2 linked regions of the Drosophila melanogaster genome follow. The gene in region 2 interacts genetically with the main gene of each other region. Each region holds a gene or a part of one and is shown on either strand. Other genes may lie near its edges.

Region 1 (3,880 bases), on a different chromosome or scaffold from region 2:
ATTTAAATAAAAAGAAAAATCGTGGCGCCCATATAAGATATATGTATTAGGGTGAGCCAGTAAGTATAACATAAGTACACAAAATATTGAAAAAACAGAATATATTTAAAGTATTTTTCATGATCGTGATCCTTTTCTATTTTGAGTTCTTTTGTGATTTAATAATATAATTTAATTTAGTTTGCGATTAGTTCACTCTAAAATGTACTTGTACTAATTCAAACGCACACAATAGCCTAATTTACCCTATTGTGTGTTATTAGAGGGGTTGCACTTGTGATTTATGCAAATAGACACTTTATGGGGACTTTGGACTACTCTGATTTTCCTTACTCGTTCATGGAGGGCAGTACTCACCAGTCAGTCCACCAAAGTGGGTTTTAACGTTTCGTTCATCTTGTTTTAAATTATAATAAAAAATGGATTTCTCATGCGCTTGACTATGAAGTTAAAGTTTTTAAATGCCCATGGGGATTTCTTTAAGCACTAGTTTTTGAATACCTCATACCTGCCGTCATATTTGAATAGGAAAAACATCAATGTTTATTTAGTTTTATTTATTGCACAGTTTTTATTTTAAGCTTTACAATATAAATAGGTTTGTTTTATTTACTCACTTTGCTAAAAATGAAGTAAATAACCTTAAAAATACCATGTATTGAGAGGTAAGTTGTGTTAATATATATGAATAAGTACATATGGCAATATATTAACAGAAATTACGCATGTAAGAAAAAATATACAATATTCGTTTTCTTGAAAGGTCTCCACTCCATAAGGCAGATTCAGGATACAGAGTTTTGAGATGCGCAGATATGCAAACGCTTACTGACTGACTATACACATATGTACGTATGGATCTTTTGACAATGGGTGGTTACCCTTTATATAACTACGAGTGCTCATCCGTTCGTCCGACGGTTCTATTGGTACATTTAGGTGCGCTTACTAAAGGACACTGGCATACCTTTGGTTGATATATGCCTTGGTGTGGTAATTATAAGTTCTTATCGAGGCCGCCAGTGTTTGAATTAGTTGTTTGTCCCTCTTTGCCGGTGCATACGAATCAATGTCACTGCCACTGAGGTGGATAACAAATATTAACAACTACTATATTTACACAAACCGGATTAGCTACTCCACCTGATATTCCGTGTGCGCAGGACACGTTCCGCCCACGTCTGTGGTCTTGGTATTTCCCGGGCCACTCCAGTTTGTTTTTTGTCGATATAGTCAATTACATCATCGTAATAGTTGGTTCTGTAGTTGTACATGTATTTGTATTGCAGAAACTTCGGCCTGAAAAGTGCAGATTGCATAAGATACAGTACGGTACAGTGCTGTACAGTACAGTGGAGGACCAACCTGACCCAGTGGCGGTAGAGCTGCACCGGTTTCCTGTAACCATCGTCTTCTGGCGGAGGCGGCGGTGCTTTGATTTCTTCTACCTCTTCCGGAGCAGCCTCCTCGTTGGCCGGAGTGCCAGCCACGACGCTATCAGCCTTGTGATCGGATGCCACACTCGGTGCTTTTGAGGGTGGGGCCGGAGTGCCCGCCTGGGTGGATGCCGCCTTCTCCTCCTCGCCGCCGTCGTCGAAACCCCATGGATCTTCTTCGTCTGCCATATTACTGAAACGGAATCCTTTCAATATTATTATATATCTATCATAGACAGATTCACTTTCAATATTCGATCTCTAGGTAACGTAAGCCATCATCATATTATTATATCACAATAAGATACTTTAACAAATTCACTGTCTTCTTATTTTTTATAAACGTTGGCCTTTTAACGTTGCATAACATTGCAACACAACCTAAATTTCAATTTTGTTCTTAAAACAACCTTTTTCGCAGTTGATCGGAAATGTTTGGAATTCAGGACGCCCAAATAGCTGGCGTTCTTAGACCTTTCGAATTCAGGACGATTTAAATGGTTCAATGCATTATAATCTACATATAATGAGTTACATCATTCATCGATTGAATTGTATAGATTCATCTCTTAAACCACTCATATCACTGTTATCTTTCCAAAGGACTTTTTATCATAGACTTATTAATAGACGTTCAAGGGATTCACATTGATTTTCTAGCAGCTAAAACTAGGACATTGGGTCCACTGAAAAATTAGGGACCGTACCTTTACTATAGTGTTTATACTGATATAAAGGAAAAAAGACTAAATGATCGAACTGCTGCTCGAAACAAATGCACTTAGAAAACTTAATCTAAATATATCGAGAAGCAACATCTATATACAAAGGTTGGCATGCGTACTCACATACTAAATTTAATTGGCCGAAACGCTATTAACACCTATGTACTAAATAGTTTCACATTTCAGCATCAAAAGTTCCGGAACAATGAAAAAGTTAGTAAGCAGATTCAAATTTAAGTAGTCAAATAAATCTTTTAAGCTCAATTTGATCGATTTCAACAATTTGCTCATTTATACGGACTTAATTTTAAATAGTTACAACACTTGTTAACTTTTTCCAGAATAAGCCTAAAGATTATGAATCCTAGTTGATAAATGTTCACATAAGAAATCCGCACCGTAATTGTTAAATTTGTTATTTTAAAATTTTTTTGGTTTCATCATGAATCCAATAAGAATTTTAATTATTTAAAAAGGAACCGTTACTCTATCACGGGAACGACGAAAGTGGAACACTTCATAAATTTATTTATATAGGTTATATCTACGATCTAACTAATACTCTAACCGTATTGGTATTCTTGCTTAAATACATGCTTATAATTTTCTTAAAAGCCCCGAAATTAATTTAAAAACAATTTTGTTTAAACGGCGTGAAAACAATCGCCCTAACTTATCGATACATCAAAAGCGAAAACCAGCAGCACACATCGATAAGGCGCTCGTATATATATCGCCTCGATTTAAGCCACCCCTAAATTTGTTGTATTGATTGTGTTTTGGTCGAATAAGTTTATTGCATTTGCGAAAAGTGATTTTGTTTAGCCTAGCGGGTAGCAGAAATGTGCCTAAAATCAATGTGTCATTTTCGTTCAGGTAATAACCGCACCCACCTCCCGCCGAGGCGGCGAAAATCCCGTGTGAATCGAGCTACATACACACTTTAGCCCATTTTGCGTGCATATACACTGCATGTGCGTACATATGTACATACGCACCTGCGTACATATGTACATATGTAAATATCAAAAATAACAATTTAGGGCGAATTTGTGTGGAGAATAAAAATCAAGCAAGCAAATCGTTTTCCTAGGACATTGTACGTTGGGGCCAAGTGGACCATGTGACAAAGCCATGCCCACTCGCACACACGCAAGCACATATGGACACAAACAACAAACTACTTTATTTAAATCGAGCGGTTCGAGCAGTGCGAGCCGGTTATATTAATGCATTTTAATTCGCATTCGAATTCTCGCTCCAAAAAAAAAAAAAAAAACAGTGCCAATTTATGTAAGCGAGAACCCGAGGTCCACTGGGAGTTAAACGTGTGTAGCAAGTTGTGTAGCAAGCCATCGCCAAAGAAACCCCCGCTCGAAACGCATACACTTGGTTTGGTATACGATGTGGAATATTGGTGTCCAAGTGCCAGCCTTTCCCTGCTGACCACCCTCCCCCACCCCCTGCTGGAGCCCACTGGAGCCCCTTACCCGATTTGGTGTGAATATTATGTGCAAAATAAAAAGGCCGTAACACCGAACGAACGCTGGGGAGGAAGGGCAGGAAAAAAAACTGTAGGCGCGGGCCGTGCTTTCCCCACGTGACACGCAGGCGTATGCGTGTGCCAAAAATTCCATTTATTCGGCGTATATTCATCGCGAAAGGCGATTTCAAACTGCATTGACACTCGCACTCGCGTTTCTGGCCCAAAGTATACCA
Region 2 (4,697 bases):
GCGCTCTTTCACCGACAATAGGTGCGCTAGCGGAAACGGGTTCCGTCGAGCTTTTTTTTTCAGGGGCCCGTGCTGGAGCTATTTCAATATATTATTTATCTTCGGAGCCATTCGATGTGTCATATTCTCTTCTTTTCAGATAGAAAATCATAAACTCGTTTAAATGCTGTTAAGTGAAAGACCATTCGCTGTGCATTACAGCGCCATCTATGATTGGCTTTTACTTCAGCCGAAAAGTATGCTAAGACTTGCATGCTTTTAGTTTATGGTTCTTGTCTCGACTACGAAATATTCAAATAAATAAATCGTGGGAAATTCTTACGTACATCAATACAAATCCAATAGAAATTATTCCTGAAACCGTACAAATAGGTATACAAATATTTAACGATGTTTACATAATGTTATAGTAATTAAATTAATTAATTACTAATTTATCTTTCGATAGAAAGAGAACAAAAGTGTGCAGTAGAAGTGTAATTTTTAAAAAAACACTTAAATTTCTAAAATATTTTTCACAATTATATCAATTTGCCGAAATAAAAGTATAATTCAGAAATATCTAGAATGCACAATAGGCAAATTTAGTTAAGATATGAATTTTTAAATAAATGGTGAGCCCAATCAATTCAGTGGTTGAATGACTTTTCATAAATTAAAAAATAAAGATAAGAATGGTGAACAATTCTGTTCGCAGCCACTAACCTCTTGCTCAATACACGATGTCAATCAAGGCAATTACCAAATAAAACGCTTTGGGAATGCCACCAATTCACTTCCGAGCAATCAGATCCTATCTTTAGACCAACCGCATTCGATTATTCATGTGGGCAAGCAATAAAAACGTAAATAGAAAGAAGTAAAAAATAATTAAATCTACATAAAAGGATAAATACAGTTCGATTGAGAAAATACATTTTCGCTCGGTCTGGCTGGCAATGGTTGGTTAATTGCACTGATAAATGGTCGGCACGGTGATTTCGCATCTTCGGGATTGCATCGGCGCCGCAATGCAAAGTGCAGCAGCATTCTGTAGAATGCGATTGCAAATGTGGATGCAGCTTCCTCGAGCACCGCGCGCGGAGATCTCGATCAACCTTGATGTTGATTTATAGGTGCCGCTCTGCTTGGCGCGTCTATTTTAGATTCGCCTCGCTGCGTGCCCGTTGAAATGTCCCATTCTCCCAGTCCCTGCCGCGGATGCCAATTGTCTTGCGTCGGTCCTTCTAAGGTCCGTTTCTATTTTCCGAACTCTCAGCACCGAATGAGTCGTCCGCCGCAGCAGTCGCCCATTGGCAGCAGGATTGGGACAGAGATGGGGACGGAGATGGGGCTAATTGGCCACTCGAGAGTGCTGATTGCCGTTTAGATGGCCCATGCTCCGACTATCACGCACCTCTGCTAATCACTCGGCTATGGCGTTCTCTTATCTTTCGAGAGCTTTCTCTCTCCTGGCACTCCCTACAAATAATGAATAGGGTCCTAAGATTGATAGCTTACTTCTATCATATATTGTCAATTAATTAAATATTTCTAGGATTAAATATGAACTGAATTGAAGATAAAGTTTATCTTCTACTACATAGTTATTTAAGCTGTTATATGTTATGAGACCCTTTTCTAGGATTTGTACCTACTAACAATGTGAAAAAAATATAAAATGTCATATTTTCGTAGTTTGGAAATTCCCTCGTTTATTGAATTTATTGGTAATCTTAATAAATGATTCTATGCTTTATTAAGTATTTAATTGTGTGGCTTCCTTTTTTTGTGAAGCGCATTAATGAGTCGTCTTCGTGCAATGAGGCATCCAAACTTCTGACATGCTCGGCCAGAAGTCTGAAAACTGCTTATATGGATCGATTGTTCCGCAGCACTTTCGCTCAATCTTTTTCTCAGTGCCGCACTGGCATCCAACTCAAATCGCTTCGAGGGAGAGCCGAGATATAAAGGCAGGACAGACCGATCGGCGTGCCATTTGTTGTTGAATCTAGTTGTCAACAGGAATCGAACGTGCGACTCTATCCAATTTTTCTCCTTTCGTTGACCTAAAAGGTGTGTGAGTGCGACCTCAATGTCGAAGGATCCAAGGATTATTACAGAAAAAGCCAAGAGGACTAAGGATATTAAAACTCTTTTTAATAAGTTCGGATTGTTTGATGGATTTTTCTACAAGTCACTAATCGGTCTTCGAAAGTTCAATATCTAAATATAAAGTGAAGAGTAATTGCAACGAAACGTATTTTCAATTAATTTGATACGTTTAAATTAAGTTCTATGAACTATTCTTTTCCGATATTTATAGAGCACTGATTTAGTTTCAAGTGAATAACCATATTAGCATGAGTCAAAAGGAAATGGAATATACCAATTTTGGCAATTTTTCATGGTTTTATTTACTGAAATGTGCTCAAATGGACAATAGAGTTTCACTTCACTTCTTCAATATCTTAAAAAGTTAAATATTTTCTTGAGACACAAATTAGTTTTCTATGTTGTCATTAAAGTAGTAGAATTTAAAGAATTGAGATGTAGGTGGGAGCTATAAAACTTTACATATATAATCGACAGATCGAGCTAACCGAGTGCACTTCCATCTCCCTTCCAGATAAACAACTGCCAAGATGTGTGACGATGATGCGGGTGCATTAGTTATCGACAACGGATCGGGCATGTGCAAAGCCGGCTTCGCCGGTGATGACGCTCCCCGTGCTGTCTTCCCCTCAATTGTGGGTCGTCCCCGACACCAGGGTGTGATGGTGGGTATGGGTCAGAAGGACTCGTACGTGGGCGACGAGGCGCAAAGCAAGCGCGGTATCCTGACGCTGAAGTACCCCATCGAGCACGGCATCATCACGAACTGGGACGACATGGAGAAGATCTGGCATCACACCTTCTACAACGAGCTGCGCGTGGCCCCCGAGGAGCATCCAGTATTATTGACCGAGGCTCCACTGAACCCCAAGGCCAATCGCGAGAAGATGACCCAGATCATGTTCGAGACCTTCAACTCGCCGGCCATGTACGTGGCCATCCAGGCCGTGCTCTCCCTGTACGCCTCCGGTCGTACCACCGGTATTGTGCTGGACTCCGGCGATGGTGTCTCCCACACCGTGCCCATCTATGAGGGCTTCGCCCTGCCCCACGCCATTCTGCGTCTGGATCTGGCTGGTCGCGATCTGACCGATTACCTGATGAAGATCCTGACGGAGCGCGGCTACAGCTTCACCACCACCGCCGAGCGTGAGATCGTGCGCGACATCAAGGAGAAGCTGTGCTACGTGGCTCTGGACTTCGAGCAGGAGATGGCCACCGCTGCCGCCTCCACCTCGCTGGAGAAGTCGTACGAGTTGCCTGACGGCCAGGTGATCACCATTGGCAACGAGCGCTTCCGCTGCCCCGAGGCTCTGTTCCAGCCCTCGTTCCTGGGCATGGAGTCGTGCGGCATCCACGAGACCGTCTACAACTCGATCATGAAGTGCGACGTGGACATCCGCAAGGATCTGTATGCCAACTCTGTGCTGTCCGGCGGTACCACCATGTACCCTGGTAAGACAAATCATTCGCTTCAGCAGTTGCACTTGTGCTTAATCCTTTGGTGCACTTTCAGGTATTGCCGATCGTATGCAGAAGGAGATCACTGCCCTGGCCCCATCGACCATCAAGATCAAGATCATTGCGCCACCCGAGAGGAAGTACTCCGTCTGGATCGGTGGCTCCATCCTGGCCTCGCTGTCCACCTTCCAGCAGATGTGGATCTCGAAGCAGGAGTACGACGAGTCCGGCCCCGGAATCGTTCACCGCAAATGCTTTTAAGTCTTTCGCCCGCCGCGAAAGCTCTTCAAAGGCAGCAACCAGCAGCGACCAACAAGCACCCATCGAGCTACCCAACAACCTCGGCTCGGACAGTGATAGACAAAAGCAGCGAACCCATCGCACAACAATTATCATCCAACTCAGATTCACAGCAGATAATCAGAGGCAACCTCCGGTTGTCGGTGCTCATCCTTCATGGCCATTTCATCGGCAGCGGTATAGCGGATTTTTACTTTGAAGAACTAATCGTAAGAGTCGTGGCTGTGCTCCATGTCGAGTAGCAATCAAATGTATATGAGGAGCTTTTAACCCTAGTCAGTGAATTGAAAGCCAAATATATCTTCCATTAAAACTATTAAATATTTTAAATAAATACATTTTTCTATTACCCGCCCCCCCCCCGTGTACTGAAAAGCCCTGGAGGTGCGAACCACGTTTGGTTGGTAACAGCTTTAAATTCCTTTTAATTGACATTAAATTAATTGTTAACATTGGTTTTGCATTAGCCTAGCTAGTTAAATGAAAATACAGCGAGGATACTTGGTACCGGGACTTAGGCGATTTGGGATACAATCGATTGAACGTTGAAAATCTGGCAGTGATAACAATCAATCAAGAGTGTTAATTCGATTTGATGAATAGTTTGGTTTGGCTTGTGCGATCGGGGGGTATCCTAAATAATATGAGTATTCGTTTTAGTTACACATACATTTGCTCCCAACTTCTCTCTCTCTCTCTTAACTAACTAATTGCGGAGCTAAGCTAATACAACTATTGTACAGACCGGCATTGCACTAGTTTAGCCGAGCTCTTCGTTTTCGGTGAGTGATGGATGGATGGATGCCCTAGGCTTGTTTCAGGGAATAATCGGAATAATTGTT

What was found. A genetic interaction does not mean that the proteins touch.
Region 1: of Act88F (region 2) and fln, changing one suppresses a phenotype caused by changing the other (phenotypic suppression), as found in Drosophila melanogaster (one study listed by BioGRID).

What each region holds. Positions count from the first base shown.
Region 1 is NT_037436.4:19,989,006-19,992,885, forward strand, and holds fln (flightin), read right to left. Parts: upstream 2,216-3,880; 5' UTR 2,144-2,215; intron 2,119-2,143; exon of another isoform or gene 1,847-2,118; intron 1,735-1,846; exon of another isoform or gene 1,630-1,734; 5' UTR 1,626-1,629; coding exon 1,366-1,625; exon of another isoform or gene 1,300-1,365; coding exon 1,144-1,299; exon of another isoform or gene 1,082-1,143; coding exon 949-1,081; 3' UTR 546-948; downstream 1-545. UniProt on the Drosophila melanogaster protein: Possibly involved in the regulation of flight muscles contraction, possibly by modulating actin-myosin interaction.
Region 2 is NT_033777.3:15,437,992-15,442,688, forward strand, and holds Act88F (actin 88F), read left to right. Parts: upstream 1-1,977; 5' UTR 1,978-2,055; intron 2,056-2,608; 5' UTR 2,609-2,624; coding exon 2,625-3,549; intron 3,550-3,610; coding exon 3,611-3,816; 3' UTR 3,817-4,186; downstream 4,187-4,697.